Callithrix jacchus: one gene and its partner. The protein of the gene in region 2 interacts with the protein of the main gene of each other region in a pairwise test. Links are inferred from orthologs where the notes say so. Each region holds a gene or a part of one and is shown on either strand. Other genes may lie near its edges.

What was found.
Region 1: the proteins of PRAM1 (region 2) and SKAP1 interact in binary tests that used the Homo sapiens proteins (3 or more experiments, as listed by UniProt). The two-hybrid records come from large-scale screens. The link is inferred for Callithrix jacchus from reciprocal best matches to the Homo sapiens genes PRAM1 and SKAP1.

What each region holds. Positions count from the first base shown.
Region 1 is NC_133506.1:118,101,430-118,112,002, forward strand, and holds part of SKAP1 (src kinase-associated phosphoprotein 1), read left to right. Parts: intron 1-1,437; coding exon 1,438-1,562; intron 1,563-3,917; coding exon 3,918-3,981; intron 3,982-6,127; coding exon 6,128-6,322; intron 6,323-10,573. UniProt on the Homo sapiens protein: Positively regulates T-cell receptor signaling by enhancing the MAP kinase pathway. Required for optimal conjugation between T-cells and antigen-presenting cells by promoting the clustering of integrin ITGAL on the surface of T-cells.
Region 2 is NC_133523.1:8,019,953-8,030,625, reverse strand, and holds the start of PRAM1 (PML-RARA-regulated adapter molecule 1), read left to right. Parts: upstream 1-4,024; coding exon 4,025-4,612; intron 4,613-10,673. Other genes in the region: ZNF414 (zinc finger protein 414), read left to right, coding at 1-12, 124-229, 651-994, 1,073-1,123, 1,576-1,752, 1,838-1,911. UniProt on the Homo sapiens protein: May be involved in myeloid differentiation. May be involved in integrin signaling in neutrophils. Binds to PtdIns(4)P.

The sequences.
Region 1 (10,573 bases), on a different chromosome or scaffold from region 2:
CCATACTTGGAAAGGATAACAGCATAGTTTGTAAACTGAGCTACAAGTCCTTCCAACCCCCAGCCCATTCTCAAACCCAGCAACCACAATTTCTCCTCTAAATTATAGGCATACAACACAGCCAGCTGTTCTTTTCTTATTTTAAAACTTCAAACTAATATACATTTGTTACTATAAAAATGTTCATCATTTCTTTTGCATTTAAACAAGTGCTTGGCATACCTAGATATAAAACAGGGTGTGTCACATCTGTTCATTCAGAATCTTCCATACTCAAGATGAGAGAGGAGTGGGGAGAGCAAGAGCGAGAGACTCAGAGGTTTTTATTGACCATTTTGCCATCAGGGTGAAATAAAATCTGGTGACCAAAGAAACAACAAAACATTTTAGTGGCCAGTTAGAACAAGGAGAGATACTTTAACAAAAAAGATTCTGGTGTCAAAAAGCACTGTTCCATGGCTCCCTTCTCGCCAGTTATTTCTTATTGTGCCCATGACATTTTCTTTAGTAAGAAGAGTGTTTGTGTATTTCTTTTAGCTCAACCGGGTGAGGACAGAGTCTTTTTTCTTCTTCTTTCTTTTTTAATGTTGTCATCCCACTGCCATCCTTATCATTATCATCATCAAAAAGCATTTATTAAGCAATTCATTTCACATGATATAGGGCTCAAAGCATCCCAGACACTAGTTCCTGTTCTCTGTGTTCTGCCTGAGCCACACAATAAGGACACAAAATTCTTGCTAGCCCTCCTCTTTTTGTGTTTCTAACATTTTTTTTTAAGTAGTGACAAGCAGAATAGTCACCCCTTCACTTAGGGTCCTTTTCCTTTTATCTTCTTTCTTGTCATCTAATAATACTCAACATTACTCTGCTACTTCCCAGGTTGACCTTTTACAAGAAGGATATACTGAGTTTTAATCATTCTCCCTCTAGCATAAATTCCCACCTGACCAGCAGGGGAGGGGGAGAGCAGTTTAGCCCAAATGCTACATAGGGCATGGGAGGCAATTTTGGGACCTTATAATGCCCCCCTGTGCTGCTGTCCCTCCCCTCAAATGTGAGCTCTGCTGGCCCTGATAATAATGTTTCAGCTCTATAATAGCCTTCAAGAGCCTCACATTTACAGCCACACTCTCCCTGCTGTAATAATTCCTTCTTTCTGTTATTATAGATCTCTTAACATTCTAATAAATTCTCTGTCTCTGTTGTACTCTTTTGGCAAAATAACCTTTCACGTTGCATTTCCTTAGCTTGGCAGAGATATCTGCCTCACTGTCACAGTAGCCTCTTCTTAAGCTTCTCTACCTTTCCTTGACTATTGTGGTTCCTCAGGGATGTAACAGCTGTTTCTGTGCTTTTATTTTACATACCAGAGAAGATGCCTTCCCTTGCCAGTTGCATCTCTCTAGGGATACAGGGAGTTTTTCTGTCTTTCAGGCAAGCAGCCCAAAGGGACCTTCCTCATTAAGGGCTACAGTGTACGGATGGCCCCCCACCTGCGAAGAGATTCCAAGAAAGAATCCTGCTTTGAACTGACCTCCCAGGATAGGCGCAGCTATGAGGTAGGACGCGCCAAGGACATGGTGATCCTCATTGGTGTTGCAGTTTCCTTCTGTATTGCATGTGAGCCATGGTTCCTATGCTGGGTTCCAGCCTTTCTTTGTTACCTGCTCATTTCATACCAACTAAGACCCTCTTTCTTGACATGTCCTCACATTTGCCTTGCCATACCCTCCCTCTGTTGCCACTCTCACCCTAGATACAGACTTTGCTTGGCTTCCATCCTTCATTCCTCCCCTTCTCGATTTCACCTCATAGGTGAGCTGCTTGTCAATTGCAGCACACAAGCCAATTCCTTACTTATAGTCTCTGATTTTATGGTTTAAAATCCCATTCTCTTTGTTTTTCACCTGATTTTCTTCACTTCCTTCCACGAAACCCAGAAAACAGAAGATCTAACTGTAGAGTAAAAAAAAAAATTATTTTCCCATGTTTATCTTGCTATCCCAAATAATCTTCCTGTGTGTGGATGCTTTGCATATCTCTGAAGGATTTCTAAGACATTGGTAACAATAGTAACAATAATAACTGAAGGACTAGAGGACCTGGTTGGGGCAAGAAAGACTTATTCCTTGCTGTGCTCAGTTTGAGTCTTTACCTCATTATAAAGTTAATTGGTTTTATTTTATTTTTGCCGTCTTCATCCTGAACGACCAACAAAATTTTTAAATTTCTGATTGTGTGGAAATATAGTGATTTTTACCAATGTATGTTCGCGTGTGTGTGTGTGTATTGTTTCCTGCTTTTTGGTAATTTTTATCTTATCATGATTTTATTAAAGCAATTTAGAAAAACTTCAGCTTATGAAAAAGAGAAAAATCATGCTAAGAGTAAATTAAACGCTTAAGTAACCCTTTTAGTCTTCATACTTTTCTCAGCATTCTTCTTTTTATTTCTACAGTATCTTAACTCTTATTTTGTTAAAGGACCTAGGTCTTCATTATGCAATTTCCAGAAATCATTTAATATTTGTACTAAAACTTTTCTATAGAGTCCTTTATGAATATATGTAATACAGATGTATGCACTGAATATGTTCCTAGTTATTTTTATTATTACATCCTGATAGTAACATATCTAGATAAAAGTTTATGTAACAAGTCTAAACCAATATTTCTAGAAATGTTTTTATAGAAATGTGTTTTTAAGAAATCAAGAATGACAATGTCTATTAAAAAGTATTATTATGCAGGAATTCAGTCTCTTTGTATGGCATATATCTTTATCTTACCCCAATGGCCAGATAATTAAAATGTTTTTCAGGAACAATTATTTCAAGTTGATTTATTTAAAATAAAAAAATTACTAAGGGCTGATGCTTGACTGGCCTATTTTGTAAATCAGAATGTAGTTTATTTACTTCTTTTCTTTGGCCTGTTAAATTCAAATCATTACCATTGTCTGTGGATTCTTCTTCTACAACATCCTATGGCTCTTCCCCTTCTTATTTATTCCCACAGCCATCACAATAGTTAAGTTCACCCAGAGGACCAGTTGGTCTTCTGTCTCCAGATTTTTGTATTTCAGTCCTTCCTACTCACAGCTATTGAAAGAATCCCCCACTCCCTTTGCTAGATTCCTGGAGTTCAGAGTTAAAATGTAGGCAACTCCTGTTGCCTACAGGAGTTGGCAATGTAGGCTAGTACCTGGAGTTCAGAGTTAAAATGTAGGCAACAGGAGTTGCCTACGTTGCCTACATTTTAACTCTGAACACCAGGTACTCAGAGTCATTTTACAAAGTCTTCTCTGACTCACAGCTCTCCAACTTCACCTGTTATTTTTCTCCAGTCAAGTTGATCTGCCAGCCTTCCCCATAAGTCATTTTATTCCTGTTCTTTTGCAATGGGTCTCCCTACCTGAAATGTCCAACTCTATCCACCAGTTTCCACAAACCCTTCTTTAAAATCCAGCCAAAATGGTATTATTACAGCAAGCCACCCTGACCTAACCTACTCTAGGCAACAATAGGTGTTCTCTGTCTCCTCTCGATATCCAGTTGATACCAAATGTGCCTCCTTTGTAGTGTTCCTATTTCATCTGTGTGGGTTGGTTTGCTTTTTTTCTTGTAAACTTTTCTCAAATAAATGCCTGATAAAGGAATAAATAATTAAATGAAAGAATGCACATGGACATGAATGTCTGGACTCAAAGAGCTGTCATCTCTGGGTATGCAAAACTGCTGAATGAAAAATCAGTTTGAGTGAATTATTTGGTCTTTTTTCTATATGTTAAGCAGACAGAGAATCCTGAACTTTAAACTTGACTCTGAAACTCACAGGCTCCTCCCACTTGGACACTGTAAAGATTCATGGAAACTTTAGTGACAATGATAAATTAATTCACTGATTTTTCTCTAGTTTACAGCTACTAGTCCAGCAGAAGCCAGAGACTGGGTGGATCAAATAAGTTTCTTGTTAAAAGGTAAGTGTCAGTTACAGAAATAATACTTGAGTTGATTTGCAGTTGAAGTTATGTTGCATAAATGTAATCTACAGGCTTATGTATTTGTTCTATCCTTTCTCACATCTGCCTTTCCTACCACATTCCTCATATTATAACAACAAATAGTACTATGTATTAATGAGAAGATAAAGATGACATCAACCTGGAGAAGACCTCTGATATCATAGCTCATCCACCTACCTGCAGGCAAGTCTGTAATATTCAAAACCACTAAAAAAGAAGATTCTAAAAATCAGCTCAGCCCAGTTCAGTGTCTCCTAACCCCTTATATTCTGGAAAGGAAATTCATAGTATCCAACTTAAAGTCATCTAGTTGTAATTGAAGTTCAAAATTACATTTTATTTTATTTTTTTTCTTATTTTAGTCTTAGGATGAAGTAGAAATCTAAACTAATCTAGATAGTCTTCAAGGACATTGTACATTAAAAACAAATTGCTATTTCCCAAGCCACAATAAGATGTTCCTTGCTTTGGGATGGGAGGATACCTGCCTGAAGACGGTAAATGACTGCTCTTAGAGTACCCTCTGCTGGCCAGCCTATAGACAAAGCAGAAACAGTGGCCCAGGAAGCCTTATCTGGGAGTGGCCTGGCAGGTAGAAGAAGCCAACTTTGAGTGTGTCACTTGGTGTTAGATAATCCTCACTTACCATCATGGCAGGACCCTACCTCTGCAGAAAGGCAGAAGCACCAACTTTATACATGGCCCAAGACCTAGAAAGAAACACGTCAGCCTAAAAGCACCAAGCCTTTTCATCTGTTTTTTATTCTGCTGTGAGATTTCATTGTGGATAAAAGAAGGAAGCACCAGAGCTTTAATTACAAAAATTGTCTGTTTTACTCAGTTATGCCTTCGCTATCACAAAAACAAACTATTGCACCTACCAACAGCGTCACGTATAATAGACTGGAACTAGGCAAACATGAACATTGATGGCGAGACTACAGGGTACATTCTCATCTAGGTGCCTTGGATTTATGCGTGTAATATACCCCTAAGTGTGTAAACCTCAATAAAACTCAAAGCAGCTTTATTGAGCTGTACCCTGTGGTACTTTCAGAATCCCACATTGAAGAAATTATTCATTCCATTATATTTTAAAACAAACAAAATAATAACATATGGTTTAAGCCACAAATGTGTTTTTGATCCTTTCCTCATATGTGGTGGCACCAAAATTCAGATGAAAATTGTTGCAAAATCTTTATTAAAAGCCTAATCAAGCCAAACAGTTTTATTACATTTTGAAATGAATGTTGGACGTCTCTCTATCCTTTCCTTCCCCAGAGTACGGTGACTGCACTCACCCATCCTGCAGAGGGCCCTCAGCAGGGTTTCAGAGAGCACTCTGTAGTACACATCAGAGAATGAACATTCCCAGTTCCCCATTAAAATAAAAAACCAATCTCCCTCCCCTGCCCTGGTGCTCCCCAGTGCTTTAATGGCTCAACACCCTCTATACAGTGACCCACTTTAAGGGCAGCTAGACTCTGCAGTTGCAAAAGGACATGGTAACTGCATTGTTCAGCTATTCCATTTGGTCTTGTATTACTGTTATATTTTTCCATACCCTGTTTCTTTTTCTCTTTCACTGTTGACCATTTTTTTCTCTGCAAACAAACATGTCTGAAATTCTGCAGTGAAATCATTGGGGAGATGAGCTTCTGACAGCTCCAACATTCTACAGAATTCCCATGGCCTATGCACCCTGGAGGACTGCAAGCCTTCACTCACCCTTCCAGTTTTCTACTTGATGAGTTGTGTGTAGCACACTGGCTTTTCCTCTTCTGGCCTATTTTCTTCCCTTCACCTCGTGTTCTCATTTACACACCCATACTTTTCAGGGCTGCTTCACCCTGATCAAGTTTTATTGCAAGGAAAGATTTATGCTGATGGTTTAAACCTGATGCAGTGCTAGTCTGGCCTTTTCTGTAGATTTCCTGCCACCAAAGCTCACATTAGAAATAACAGCATTTAACCTGGTGTTTCATTTTCTTTTGACATGTTTTACTCTGATCCCTCTTCCTCCTTCTCCCTCTTCCCTCCCATCTTATTATTTCATTTTTCTCTGTTTCTTGATTCATTCTCATCTTTGCCCTTGCAGATCTGAGCTCCTTAACCATTCCATGTGAAGAGGAGGAGGATGAAGAAGAAAAAGAAGAGACATATGATGATATTGATGGTTTTGACTCCCCAAATTCTGGTTCCCAGTGCAGACCCACTATCTTGCCTGGTAGTGTGGGGATAAAGGAGCCTACAGAGGAGAAAGAAGAAGAAGATATTTATGAAGTCTTGCCAGGTGAGAAATTTTGTGCTCCGATTATCTTCTGCTAGTTTCAGAAATTCATGACCTGATTAAAGAATAATAACTTTGAAAATTCCAAAAGAAGTCAAATCTAACCTTCATCCTCTGAAGGAGATAGTGTGGGAAGCTTTATGAGATTGTAGGGAAAACAATAATGAAGCTCTGCCTTGCTCTAGGAGCAAGAAGAAATTGATTATGGAGTGTCTTCTATCCATGCCATGTGAAGTAACTTAGTACATGTCCACCAGATTAAATAGTCAAGAGCATCTACATTGGTTTTTATTGGTTTACTGTGAGTTTTGGGATGAGTCATCAAAATTCTCAAGTTTCAACTTTTTGGCGTGTAGTTGTGAAAATAATGGAAAATTGCTTCAAAATTATGAAGGATTTCAAAAATCTGAAACATGTTGTAAATGCTGACAAACATTTTTAGTAATACCTTGATAGAGCAAACCTTCATAATAAACCTTGATAGAGAACAACGCATTATTACCTAGTTCAGCTATACCATGAATCAAATCACAACTCTTTTTTTTTTTTCCATGCGTCGTGTCCACATGATCAGCATCACACCTGTGGACAGGATTATCACTACTTTTAAAAAGAAGCCTAACATGTTTTATCTGCTCATCATTACAACATATCTACTCTCTCTATATTTCCTTTTTTCCAAAGGCATGAAAACTATCATCTTAAAAACTATATAGTCATCACTGCTTCTGCATAGCCACTTCTAGTGGGGATAACAACAGCTGGTGAACAGTGCAGAGCTCAGTGGGGGTCAGATGGAGGAGAACCAAAGCCTGAGCTTTTAATTGTGAGGTAGTTAGACCACAGAACGCTAATCTTCAAGTCCATTCAGAAAGATGGTTCCTATGGAAATTTGCCAGGAGTTCAGTGCTCTGCTGAGAAATTCAAGTTAAGCTTAAATTTATAGCAATTTAAGCCTCAATCCCAGATGAACCTAGGAACTAAGGTGAATCTAACACTCAAGCCCCTGAAGATAGGGCTGGTTGCTAAAAGCATCAACAGTAAGCAACTTGCATTTCAAGGCTTCCTAAGAAGAGCATCCAACCCTCTCCACTCTGCATTTATCTCTTCCTGGGGAAGAAGCTACGTCATTGCTTCCTGAGTTAAGGGGCAGGACTTTGGCCACATTTCCCCACCCTGCTGGGGACTTTACCCACCCACCAAGGAGAGCCTGCTTCTTCTCCTAGCACTTCCAGTCTCGACTTCTCCAGCCTTTTTGTTGTGTTTTATTATGCAAATGATATCTTGGTTGAGGTCGAGCCATTTCTTGTGTCTGACGTTAAAAAAAATGATAATTTCCTCAGCAAGTCATCGTCGTTAATGAAGTTTTACAAAAACAGATACAACCAAAGGAAAATAAAATTTCACAGGTGATAAATTTTTCCAATTTCCCTGGCAGAATTCGATAGGATTGTTAAATTAAGAGTGAAGGTGTCTGTTAGAAAGCAACGAGCAGTGATGGGTAATTTTATAGAGTGGAAAATTGAATCAAATTGCTACATTAAAACACAGCTCCTCTGAGAATCTTCCCTTTCACAGTCAGCTCCATTGCAACAGCAGGGTGCAGAAATGGATCTAATTCACAACACTCCCTAAAAGGAGATGCACTCCCCAACTTGGCCAGAATCTTCCTAGTGAGCTCATATTCTGCTCACTCTTGCCCAGGCTTGGGGAAATATCCGGATGACAGTCCACTTTGGGTGACAACTGTGGAAGAGTGCTCTGGGAATGCCTCAGTGAACCTTCTGGGGTAGAAAGAAAGGAAAGAAACATGTACCATGTTTTGTTTTCAAAAGAGCCAGGGAGGAGGGGGCTGATGCTCAGAGATACAGAGCAAAGGAGAATAAAGAGAAAGAGACCTCAAAAAATTAGATGAGTTTGGGACTGTCACCTTATCCCAGGAGTGGGAAGTGAAGGTATGATTGGCTACCTAATGACCGTCTTTCTCTTGCCTCCTAAACTTTTCCCCTTGGCCATTGCAGCACTGCCCAGAGTATTAGGGCATTTTTCCAAAATTCCTACCAGCTGGTATGTTGGAGTCGCTCCAATGGCATGAAGACTGGTCTGAGGGTACACTTACCCTGTATCCACAACAGCTGTCCATTGGAAGTGAGGAAAGCCACACAGTAGGAAATCCAGGGTCTCTTTCTGCAGGTTAAGGAAACAGCAGCTAAGCACCCTTTTAGTTTCCAAAGAACAGCACTGTACCCAGCCAACAGGTTCTTTCCCATAAGCCTCTATCCATCACAGTTCTTAGAGACAGAGTTGGAGGTGGGATATATTGGCATTTAATTATGATATGAATATTTCAGCAACCAGTCACTATCACTCAACTTCCTGTCCACTCCACTCAGCTGTTGCTTCTGAACTTACTGTTTGAATTTTGCATGTGCCACACCATCAGTCCTGGAGAAACTGAGAAGGGAAAGTGAGGGGGCCTAACACTGTCTCCTTTCTGCTGCCCTCTTACAAGACCACCTGCCAACCAGCAGCACATGAGACAGCATAGTATCATAGGTACAGATACTGGCTCTTAAGTCTGGATGGATCTGCCCTGCCACCTGCTAGCTGTGAGACCTTGAGCAAGTTACTTGCCCTCTCTGCCTGTTTGTACTACCTGTAAAATGGGGAAAACAATAGTAGTTGTCTTAGAGGGATGTGGTAAGGAGTCTAGAACTGACATGTGTAAAGTTCTTAGCACAGAGCCCTGACATACAATGGCATACAGTGAGTACTCAGTAAATGCTGGCTATTATTAATGTGATGGTGTTTAAACAAGAAGTGTTATCTCCTTGAAGAACTGGGGTGGTTAGGTCCCCGCCCTCTCAAACCAGACCCAAGACAGTCCAGTTGGATATTTCCAGCTATGTGTATGGAGCAGGTGAAATTGAAAATCCTGAGCAGATGGAATGTGGAGTGCACCTTCTGCCCAGGCCCATTTTTACTGCGAGGCCAGGTGCTGCGTGGAAGGATGGCCTACAGTAACGTTGGATTGTGCTAACACTGCATACCCATCAAGAGTCAAATATGTGGGCCTCTAACATTTGTTTCATTATAACAAGTAAATATGCTTTGTGGAGGATATTTAACATTGACAGTTCTGCTAATCCTCCCTTTTCCCTCACTGTCTCTATGGGGAAAGCCATGTTAGTGAGACCTCCCTTCCAGAGTATAATTTAGACGGGCTTCCTAATAGGGAGAAAAATGTGTGAAACAAATACCAAGTCAATAAAAAATGTTTTCCGTAATCAAAATAATGTATAGGTCATCACATTAAACTCACTCCATCACATTAATCATGGAATAATTAGCATTTGCTACGTGGCTAGCACTCTTCTCCCCATGAGGGAACACCAGAGCACTCAAGGTTTTCAGCCAGACCATGAAAATGTTAGTGCTGGAAAATATGGTTTCAAGGTTGGTATCTGGTGGGATTTCTGAACATCCGTGTTGAGCATATGGGGGCTGATTTTTTTAGGCTCTCATTTGCAATAGATTAAACTGCAGGGAACTACCACAAAGAAATGCTAAAGCAATATGTAGAAAATAGGAGGCCTTTCTGAGCCCTCTCTCACCACCACCACCACTCTCACAGTTATTTTACAGGCCAGCATAGGCCCAGCTTCATGATTCAAGATTCCATAAAAGGACAGCTTTTATCAAATTTTGTCTGGTGTCTCAAGGCTGGGATCCAGCAAGGCGCCTGAGACCATTGAAGTGGTATAACTGGGGCCTTGTAGCAGCTGCAGTGGCAACAGAATCCGGCTGTGTTCTCTAGAGAGATTTCAGAAGAGCAAATGGAAAGAGAGATGAAGAGCTTTCTTTGGGAATTTCTGTGCACATTCCAATGCTGCCCACACTGCCCCAGGGTGTTATTATAGACCTAGAAACCAGATTGCTTTATAATAAAGCATATAACTGAGTTTTTTTAAATTTTGAGTCAAATGGAAACAAGCATTCTGTGGAATTATTTTTCCCCCTGTACGGTTGTTCAGACCCACAGGAAGGGGTAACAGTGAAGGTAAGAAGTCTAAAGAAATTTAAAAAAATGAAGATGAAAAATACAAAGTTTATAAAGAAAGAGCATCAGTGAAGAGTCAACACCATTATCAGGCCTCCTCTGAACTTCTGGCCTTTTATCTTTCTTACTCCCATACCACTGAGCCCCAGCCACACAGTCCTGCTTGGCCAGCGCCAAAACGGGAATCATGTTGT
Region 2 (10,673 bases):
AGTCCCTGGAAGGTAGGGCCAGGGCCGGTCATGGGGAGGCAGGTTAGGGTGGGAAACAGGCGGAGCCCTTCGGAGCCAGCCTTGGCCACCTCTCTCCACTCCTCTGTCCTTCATCCCTACCAGGCAAGCTCTTCCGCTGCTCGGCCCTGAGCTGCACCGAGACCTTCCCTAGCATGCAGGAGCTGATGACTCACAGCAAACTGCATTACAAGCCCAATCGCTACTTCAAGTGAGACCCTGACCTCTTGAGCTCCGCCCTGCCCTAGCCTCACCCTGTGTGTGGGTTCCAGGCCTGTCTCCTTTCCTGGTCAGGATGTTGGAGGGCGGGACTTGATGTGGGCAAGGCTTTGGACAAGTCCCGCCCTTGCCTCCCTGGATGGGCGGGGCATACGTGGGCGTGGCTCCACCTAACCCGGCTTTATTTCCCAAGTGGAAAACCGGCCACCTAACTTAAAATTGAGACTTCTTTCTAGGTTTCCCCAGGGTTCCCACCTGAAGTGGTCAGGAAGGGTCGCTGCCACAGTTGTCCGGGAGCTGGGAGGCAACTGGGGCCCAGGCTCCGTTCCCACGCTCGCAGGGCGGGTGGCATGGCACAGGCCCCAATCCCTGGTCGTCCTGGAGGCCCAGCCCGGCCCTCTGCCCGCCCCCAGGTGTGAGAACTGCCTCCTGCGCTTCCGCACGCACCGCTCGCTCTTCAAGCACCTGCATGTTTGCGCAGAGCATGCGCAGAGTCCAGCCCCGCCGCCACCCCCGGCCTTGGACCGGGAGCCACCCGCGCCCGAGCGCCCCCCAGAGGCCGACCCCGCGTCAGCGCCGGGCCTGCAGTTCCCGCTGCTCGAGCCTTTCACGACCCCTGCCCCTGCCCCCTCCGGGCCCTTCCTGCCTTACTTGAACCCTGCGCCCTTTGGCCTAAGCCCCCCGCGCCTGCGGCCCTTCCTGGCCGCGGCGCCCGGGCCGCCGGCTTCTAGCGCCGCCATCTGGAAAAAGAGCCAAGGTGAGTGTGGAGCGGGGCCTCCAGGAGGGCGGGCTGGGCTCGCCCTGACTCTGAACTTGACCCTCCCCTTTACCGCAGGTGCTGGCAGCAGCCCTCGAAGACCCCAGGGCGGCTCCGACGCGCCCTCAGGTGCGTGCAGGTGACCACCAGGGAGGGGTGGAAGGGCTTTCTTTCCTGCGCCCTGCGGGGTGAGGTGGATACCGGGAGGCAGCAGTGCCCATCCCCTTCCCAGGGGTACAGAAATGCCACCGTCCCGAAATACAGGATTTTTGCCTTAAATATGACTGGCACCTGCGCCTTCATCTGCGCCGGCGTTCCCGTGTAAACCTCGTGCCCCGTTCACCGTTCACCTCGAAGCGGGCTTCTCCCCGGCGGTGGATCCGGGAATGGGAATAGGGGACGCGGAGAAGCGAAGTTGGGTTTCCCCAACTCTAGGGGCAGACAGACCCCGGAGAGACGGATCCAGGCGCCTGGAAGCTGATGGGGGCGGGGAAAGGTCCCACCCACCCTTGCCCGTGTCCTCCATCCTTGGCGTACGGGTCCTCTGGGTTGGGGACTGACAGGGTCCCACCTGCCTGCAGGGCACGCGGCCCCGAGCCGCATCGTGTGGGAGCACACGCGCGGCCGCTACTCGTGCATGCAGTGCGCCTTCTCCACGGCCTCGCGGCCCGCCATGACCCTGCACCTGGAGGACCACCGCCCCGGCACCCCCGCGGCCCCCGCGCCCGGGCCGCCACGCCCCGACGCCCCGGCGGCGGGTAAGGCCGAGGAATGCTTGGGTGGAGACGGGGGCAGGGGCCCAAGGCGCTGAGGCTCAGCCTCCCCACTCCTCTGCCCACCCAGATCCAGCCCCACTTGCACCCAAGGTGTCGCCGTTGCTGTCAGAGGGGGAGCTTCCAGTGTTCTCGCAGCTCTGAATCCCAACACTTTGGGGTTGGGCCATGGGGTGTGGGTAGTTTTGTCGTTAGGAGGGGGCTGCAGGGAAGGGGGGTTGAGGTGGACAATAAAGAAGGCACCATGAGCCAGCCTGTGCTGTGTCCCCGTCCCTTACCCCTCCGAAACGCAGTGGGCCACAGCCCAGCAGTCATGGAGAGATCATGTTTCATGAGGACCACCTGGATCCGCAGGTCCAAGCCTCACACCCCACCTGTGTGCTGTCTCCCTATCACCCCAATACTGGGGCCCAGGTCCCCACTTCCAGCTGTAGTTGAGGTCTCCAGGACCCAATGTCCTGTTCTCCCTTGTCCAGAAACCAAACGGGATGGGACTCTCCGGTTTTAAGAAGTCCTGGCTGGGCACACTGGCTCACACCTGTAATCCCAGCACTTTGGGAGGCAGAGGCAGGTGGAGCACCTGAGGTCAGGAATTTGAGACCAACCTGACTAACATGGTGAAACCCCATCTCTACTAAATACAAAGAATTAGCTAGGCATGGTGGCTGGCACCTGTAATCCCAGCTCAGGTGAGCCTCGGATTCCCAAAGTGCTGAGATTACAGGCATGAGCCACCGCACCTGGCTTCCTTGGACTTTCCATCCCCCAACGTGTCCACCTCAGGCTCTGAGTCGAAGCCATCCAGGTACAGAAGCCCAGGGCCACATCACCTCAAAGATGGACAGCTCTGGGCTCTAGAGGCCCTTCAGCTACTTCAAGGGACAGGAGGGGATCCTCAGGCCCTTAGAACCGATCTGTCTGCCCCACTGCCCACAGCCTCACCGGGGACCTGAAGACTGCCCTGTCCTTGATGGGGCTGCAGCCTCAGCTCACATGGCTTGGGTTGGGTGTCCACCCTCCCAGCACCCCTGGGCCCCAGCTGAGGTGGTTGTCACTCAGGATGGGGCGGGACATGCCATTGGGAGGCCCCAGTGCTCCAAGGCCACCTAAGCTCCCCCTTAGTCAGAAGCCTTGAAACTACAACTGTGGGACCCTGGAGAAGACTTGACCCCCCTGCCTTCCAATTCCCTCATCCTTAAGGGTGTCATGATGACGAGTGAGCCCTTTGGTGTGGATAGGAGGATGAAAAGCTGACCTTGGGGAGAGGCTTGGGAAATGTCTGCTGAGTACTTCGCATTCCTCTGGTCACCGAGCCCATGGCTGCCTGGGACCCTCTCTACCTGGGGAGGAGGATAGGACTGAGTCAAGGGCCCCCCCCCCTTTTTTTTTTCTTTTTTAGTAGACCGGATCTCACTCTTGCCCAGGCAGGGCTCACTACAACCTCCACCTTCCTGGTTCAAGCGATTATCCTTAGCCTCCCAAGTAGCTGGGACTACAGGCACCCACCACCACTCCTGGCTAATTTTTGTAAATTTAGTAGAGACGGGGTTTCACCATGTTGGCCAGGCTGGTCTCGAACTCCTGACCTTGCGATTCACCCACCTCGGTCTCCCAAAGTTCTAGGATTACAGGCATGAGCCACCATGCCTGGCCCAAAGGGCCCATTTTACTGGTAGAGAAAGTAAGGCTAGGAGGTTCCTAGCCAGCCCCAGTTCCAAGTCAGAGGCACTGATTCTGCACAATCTTGGGAGAAGGGCACAGTTACCATGGGATGAAAAAACCCTGGCAGCAGGTCCAGAGGACACTCCCCTGTTCCCATGCTCTGAAGTTCCCTAGATCTGGCTGTAGTGCAAGCCCCCTCTCCATCTCCAGGGACAGCACTGTGTTCTCTGTCCCCCAGGCCCCTAACCCCTGTCAGGGGCCTGGGGGCCCCCAGGAGTCTTCATTCCCCATCAATTTCCTCATTCGGCCACCCCCAGAACTAAGCCATGCTACTTCCCAGTCTCTGTCACCATCTGTCCAGAGAGATCCAGAGTCAACAAGCACCTCGGTCCAGGGACCTCTCCTCGACCCCATCACCCACGGAGATTGGGCAGCCCTTCCTGTGTGTACAGCGGGTCCACGGCCACCACTCTGCCCTCTGGGGTAAACTGACTCTGCCCCAAGGCCTGGGAAACTAGGTCACCACCTGGCATCTGCCATTCACCTTGTCCACTCCAGAAACTATCTCCCACCCTCAAGCCGGTCCCCAACCCCTATGCGCTGGAGGCCAGTCCTATTGGGCCCCGGCTCCGCCCAGCAAGGGGCGCCCAGGAGAGCCGGGAGTGCAGCGCCGATCGTGGTCCGGTTGGCAGGAAGCCGCCAGCTGGCGCCAAACAGCTCTGAGGCCGGCCAGAGTCCTGTGCACCGCCCGGCATTTGTCCAGCCCCAGCTGTCACCTGCAGGTGCTAGTCCACTCTCGCTCACCGCGGACCGGGAGCCGGAAGATGGAGCACACCCCGCGGCCCTGGCATCCGCCGCCCACGTGCTCCCATCCGCCACCTTGAGCACCCATGTTCCCATTCCCAACCCCGCAAAGTGCCCGAGCCGCGCCCTAACGAACTCCCACTTCCCCCTGGTCCGCGCTGGCTTCTCCGGGATTCCGGAGCTGTCGGTCCCTGTCTGCAGCCGCGCCGCGAGGACCCTTGCCAGGAGCTCCCACGGAGGCGCCAAATACGCAAGCAAGACTGGGGGGAACTCATACCATGACGACCACGCCGGGACCTGCACGTCACCCCCACAGCGCCCCCGCGGGGTCTTGGTGCGAGCGCCCTGGCTGGACCCTCGTAGCTACCAGAGTGCACGGGTAGCGACCGGCGCAGGCACCTGGGGATTCATCAGCTGTCATCCAATCCTTCAATTACCTTGACTGAGCGTCTACTGTATACTCATAGCCAAGAATTGCTTGTTTTTCTTTTCATTATTATTATTTAAAAAAAAAATTTTTTTTTAAGATGGGGTTTCACCATATTGGTCAGGCTGATCTCGAACTCCTGACCTCAGGTAATCCACCCACCTCAGCCTCCCAAAGTGCTGGGATTACAGGCGTGAGCCACTGCGCCCGGCTTTTTTTTTTTTTTTTTTTTAGACGGTGTCTGGCTGTGTCACTCAGGCTGGAGTGCAATGGTGCAATCTCTGCTCACAGCAACCTCCGCCTCCCCGGTTCAAGCGGTTCTCCTGCTTCCCCCTCCCAAGTAGCTGGGATTACAGGCGCACACCATCACGCCCAGTTAATTTTTGTATTTTTAGTAGAGACGAGGTTTCACCATGTCGGCCAGCTGGTAGCAAACTCGTGACCTCAAGTGATCCGCCCGCCTTGGCCTCCCAAAGTGCTGGGATTACAGGCATGAGCCACCATGTTCCCCCTGGCTGACCTTTCTTGAATTTATTTAACTAAATGAGAAGGACCCAGATGGAGCTGGGAGGGAGACTCATTTGTTTTGAGGACTTTGCTCTTCCGCAGGCCCTTCCTGCATCTGCTCTGCTGCAGTGGGATACATGACACGATGAGAAGTGCTCTGCCCATTTGTTTTCAAGCCTCCGTTAAGAGCACAGGCGTCAGGATTCTGCCAAGATGGCGCCATTGCATTCCATCCTGGTGACAGAGCGAGACTCCATCTCAAAGAAAAAGAAAACGACCAGGCTGGGTGACTGGGTGCAGTGGCTCGTTCCTGTAATTCCAGCACTTTGGGAGGCCAAGGCTGTGGATCACCTGATGTCAGGAGTTCAAGACCAGCCTGACCAATATGGTGAAACCCCATCTCTACTAAAAATACAAAAATTGGCTGGGCGTGGTGGCAGGTGCCTGTAATCCCAGCTACTCAAGAGGTTGAGGCAGAAGAATCGTTTGAACCCGGGAGGTGGAGGTTGCAGTGAGCGAAGATTGCACCACTGCAATCCAGCCTGGGTGACAGAGCAAGACTCTATCAAAAAAGAAGAGAGAAAGAAAGGGAGGGAGAGGAGAGGGGAGGAGAAGAGAGGAGAGGAGGAGAAGAGAAGGAAAGGAAAGAAAGCAAGTTCAACCACTTCGTTTCCGAGTCTTTTTTTTTTTTTTTTTTTTAAGAGACAGGGTCTCATTCTGTTGTCCAAGCTGGAGGGCAGTTGTCACAATCATACACTCACTGCAGCGTTCTAATTCCCAGGCTCAATTGATCCTACTACCTCAGCCTCCCTAGTAGCTGGGACTACAGGCACACACCATCCCACCCAGCTCGTGTGTGTGTGTGTGTGTGTGTGTGTGCTAGAAACAGAAGCTCACTATGTTGCCCAGGCTGGTCTGGAATTCCTGGGCTCAAGCGATCACCCATCTTGGCCTCCCAAAATGCCAGGATTACAGTTGTGAGCCACCTTGCCCAGCCTTCTCTTCATTATTCCTGCTCCAAGTGTGGTCCACAGAAGGACAGCATTGGCATCACCTGGGACCTGACTCATCACTTGGGTCAGAACCTGCACATTAACAGCAGCTCGGAGTGACTCAGGGGAACCGGGGATTCTCACCTTAGCTGTGTATGAGAATCACCAGCCTTTTTTTTTTTTTTTTGAGACGGAGTTTCACTCTTGTTACCCAGGCTGGAGTGCAATGGTGCAATCTCGCCTCACCGCAACCTCCGCCTCCTGGGTTCAGGCAATTCTCCTGCCTCAGCCTCCCTAGTAGCTGGGATTACAGGCACATGCAGCCATGCCTAGCTAAGTTTTTGTATTTTTAGTAGAGACGGGGTTTCACCATGTTGACCAGGATGGTCTCAATCTCTTGACCTCATGATCCACCCGCCTTGGCCTCCCAAAGTGCTGGGATTACAGGCTTGAGCCATCGCGCCCGGCCCGCCTTTTTTTTTTTTTTTTTTTTTTTTTTTTAGATGGAGTCTCTCTGTCACCAGATCGGAGTGCAGTGGCGCGATCTCGGATCACTGCAACCTCTGCCTCCCGGGTTCAGCCGATTCTCCTGCCTCAGCCTCCGGAGTAGCTGGGATTACAGGCACCCAGCATCACGCCTGGCTAAATTCTACATTTTTAGTGGAGACGTGGTTTCACCATGTTGGCCAGGCTGATCTCAACCTTCTGGCCTCAAGGGATCTGCCCACCTCGACCTCCCAAAGTGTTAGGATGACAGGCTTGAGCCACTGCGCCCGGCCTTCCATCTCTTTTCTGATTCTTCCTTAGCTCCAAAATTTCTAGGGTTCGGCTGCATTCACTCCTCTGTAGTCGACAGACACCCACTGGGACAACTCCCAAATTCATCATTCCAGTCCAAACCCTAGGGCCCAGTGCCTTCCCGGCGTCTACCACAAGGGGGCGACACACAACTCCCGCGTTCATCATTCCAGTCCAAACCCTAGGGCCCGGTGCCTTCCCGGCGTCTACCACAAGGGGGCGACACACAACTCCCAAATTCATTCCAGTCCAAACCCCAGGGTCCAGTGCCTTCCCGGTCTCTACCACCAGGGGCACAACTCCCAAATTGACAGAATGTGTGTGATTTGGGGGATGCTGTGCCTGATTTGGGGGATGTAGATCATTGATGTTACCAGCCATCGTCACACCATGTCAGTGTGGGGTAAGCTCAGAGGAAAACTGAGGCTTGAGAAGGACAGTGGCTTCCCTAAAGACACCTGACTAAAGACACAGGTATTGTTTCCAAGGACGTGGTATTGGAACCTGGGTCCATTCAACAGCCAAGAACAGGTTCTTGGTCTTGGCTGGACACGGTGGCTCATGCCTGTAATCCTAGCACTTTGTGAGGCTGATGTGGGTGGATCACTTGAGGTCAGAAGTTCAAGACCAGCCTGGCCAATATCGTGAAAGCCCATCTCTACTAAAAATACAAAATGTTAGCTGGGTGTGTTGGTTCATGCCTGTAATCCCAGCTACCTGGTAGGCCAAGGCATGAGAATCGCTTAATCCTTGGGGGCAGAGGTTTCAGTGAGCCAAGATTGCACCGCTTCACTCCACCTGGGCAAATAGAGTGAGACTCGGGCTCAGAAAAAAAAAAAAAAAAAAAAAAAACAGGTTCCTGCATCTATGTAAACACATAGGAGGCTGGGCTGGTGCTGAGAAGGATTTTTTTGTTTCGGTTTTTGAGACAGGGACTCACTCTGTCCCCCAGGCTGGAGTGCAGTGGCGCGGTCATGGCTCACTGCAGCCTTGACCTCCTGGGCTCAAGTGAGCCTCCTGTCTTGGCCTCCCATGTAGCTGAGATTATAGGCACATGCCACCATGCCTGGCTAATTTTTAAGTATTTCATAGACACAGGGTCTTGCTGTGTTGCCCACGCTGGTCTCTAACTCCTGGGCTCAGGCAATCTTCCTGCCTCGGCCTCCCACAGTGTGGTATTACAGGCTTGAGCCACGATGCCTGTCCAACATTTTGGAAGCTCACTTCGCTGAAGGTCATGCTGGTGGTGGCGTTAAAAGTGATCTGTGGGTGGGACTCTCATACTTGTGTACAGGTGAGAAGGCATTCCTGGGCCTTCTTGGATAGCTGACCTTAGAACTTCCTTTCTTTTTAAGATCAAGTCTCATTCTGTTGCCCAGGCTGGAGTGCAGTGGTGTGATCTCGGCTCACTGCAATCTCTGCCTCCCGGGTTCAAGCGATTCTCCTGCCTCAGCCTCCTGAGTAGCTGGAATTACAGGTGCTCATCACCACACCCAGTTAATCTTTTGTATTTTTAGTAAAGACGGGGTTTTGCCCTGTCGGCCAGGCTGGTCTTGAACTCCCAACCTCAGATGATCCTCCACCTCGGCCTCCCAAAGTGTTAGGATTACAGGCGTGAGCCACCTTACCCAACAGCCAGTTCTGTCTTTCAAAAAAATTGTTCAGGCGATTCCAGCATGTGCTCAAACGGAAAACCAGGGCTCTCTACTCTCTTAGCAAGACTTTTGTCCCTTCGTCTACTGTGACCGAGATCACCCATCTCCTGTGGGCTGAGCCCTGTGGTCATGGCTTGCCCTTACCTGGCCAGGCTGCCGCACCATGACCGACTACACTGACCCTCTCCTGGCCCCTGTCTCTGTCTCCTGGTTCCTCTTCTCTCTGCTACTTCTAATGTAACCTCTGGGAATCTGGGGTATCTTCATGTCCTCAGACCCCCTCAGTCCTTCAAGACTACAAGGCCTCTTTTTTTTTTTTTTTTTTTTTTTGAGATGGAGTTTCACTCTGTCACCCAGCATGGAGTGCAGTGGTGTGATCTTGACTCACTGCAACCTCCACCTCCCAAGTTCAAGCGATTCTCCCCCTCAGCCTCCCAAGTAGCTGGGATCACAGGTGTGCGACATCACACCTGGCTAATTTTTGTATTTTTAGTAGAGACAGTGTTTCACCATGTTGTCCAGGCTGGTCTCGATCTCCTGACCTTAGGTAATCTGCCCTCCTTGGCCTCCCAAAGTGCTGGGATTACAGGTGTGAGACACTGTGCCCAGGCTTTTTTTGTTTTTTTTTAGTGTGGCTCTCGATTGATTGATTGAGATTGAAATAGAGTCTATCTCTGTCACCAGTGCAGTGGTGTGATCATAGCTGACTCCAGCCTCTGCCTTGTGGTCTCAAGCAATCCTCCCGCCTCAGCCTCCCAAGCAGCTGGGACCACAGGTGGGCATCATCACACCTGGCTAATTTTTTATATTTTTTGTAGAGCTGGAGTCTTGCTATGTTGCCCAGGCTGGTCTCAAACTCCCATGCTCAAGTGATTGTCCTGCCTCAGCCTCCCAAAGTGTTGGGATTACAGGTGTGAACCACCATGCCCGGCCTAGATGCACGGCCTTTGACACCATTCACCCATTGAGCCCCTAAGTCTGCCATGCCAGCTGAGCTCTCTGCCCAGGGTGGCAGCCTGAGGCTTCCATGGCCTGTGTGATATCTCCCCCAGAACAAGTGAGTCCTGCTCAAAGCCGAAAGTCGGATTTCAGGAAAGTGTTGAAATAAGGAAAGCGATGGGCCAACCAGGGCAGGGGCAGACAGCAGGAGCCTCACCGGTCACATGGGCCCCCACGTTCTGTGTCTCTGGGGCTTCCCAGGAGCCTCATAAACCCCAGAGCTGTCCATACCCCTGACCTGCTGAGATTTCCCCATCCCGTGGCTCTCCAGCCCAGGAGGTCACCAGGGCCTGGCAGAGTACTACCTGGAGTCCAGAGATGGGGCCACCAAGGCCGTGGGACTGAGGGGAACTACAGACAGTAAGAAACTTGTGACCATGTTGGGAATATGTGGGTGACCAACACCCCAAGCTTGGGGACAGTAGCAGGCAGGACAGGAATTCAAGGGAAATAGAAGTGCCTGGCAGGGGCCAGGTGCGGTGGCTCACGCCTGTCCTCCCAGCACTTTGGGAGGCCGAGGTGGACAGATCATTTGAGGTCAAGAGTTCAAGACCAGCCTGGCCAACATGGTGAAACCCATCTCTACTAATAATACAAAAAGTAGTCAGGTATGGTGGTGCATGCCTGTAATCTCAACTACTCAGGAGGCTGGTGCAAGAGAATTGCTGTTGAGAAATGCTGAGTGGATGATAAAATCTATTGTTTGCTAAGAATGATGGCAAGGAAACCCTGGCTGCCCCCACCCCCAAGGGGAAAACTTTTTGGAGCATTATTAAGTGGCAGGATAATATATAAATATCATATACCGGTTAAAACAATTACTCTAAGTGCGGGATACGTGACCCTGCCCCTGTGGCTCCCTCATGGAGAATACTTTTCAGTTTGTCTGTGATCAGTGGTAAATAGGCACCAGCTGCCTGCCTAGTTTATCTTGGTTCTATGAGAAACACAGAACGCCTGTTTGTTAATAATTATCACCTGTTCAGAGAGACTAAATACGTGGGTCAGCGTCTGCTCAAGGCCCTCAGCCCAGAAGGCTGTCAGCTCGGAAGGCTGTTGCCC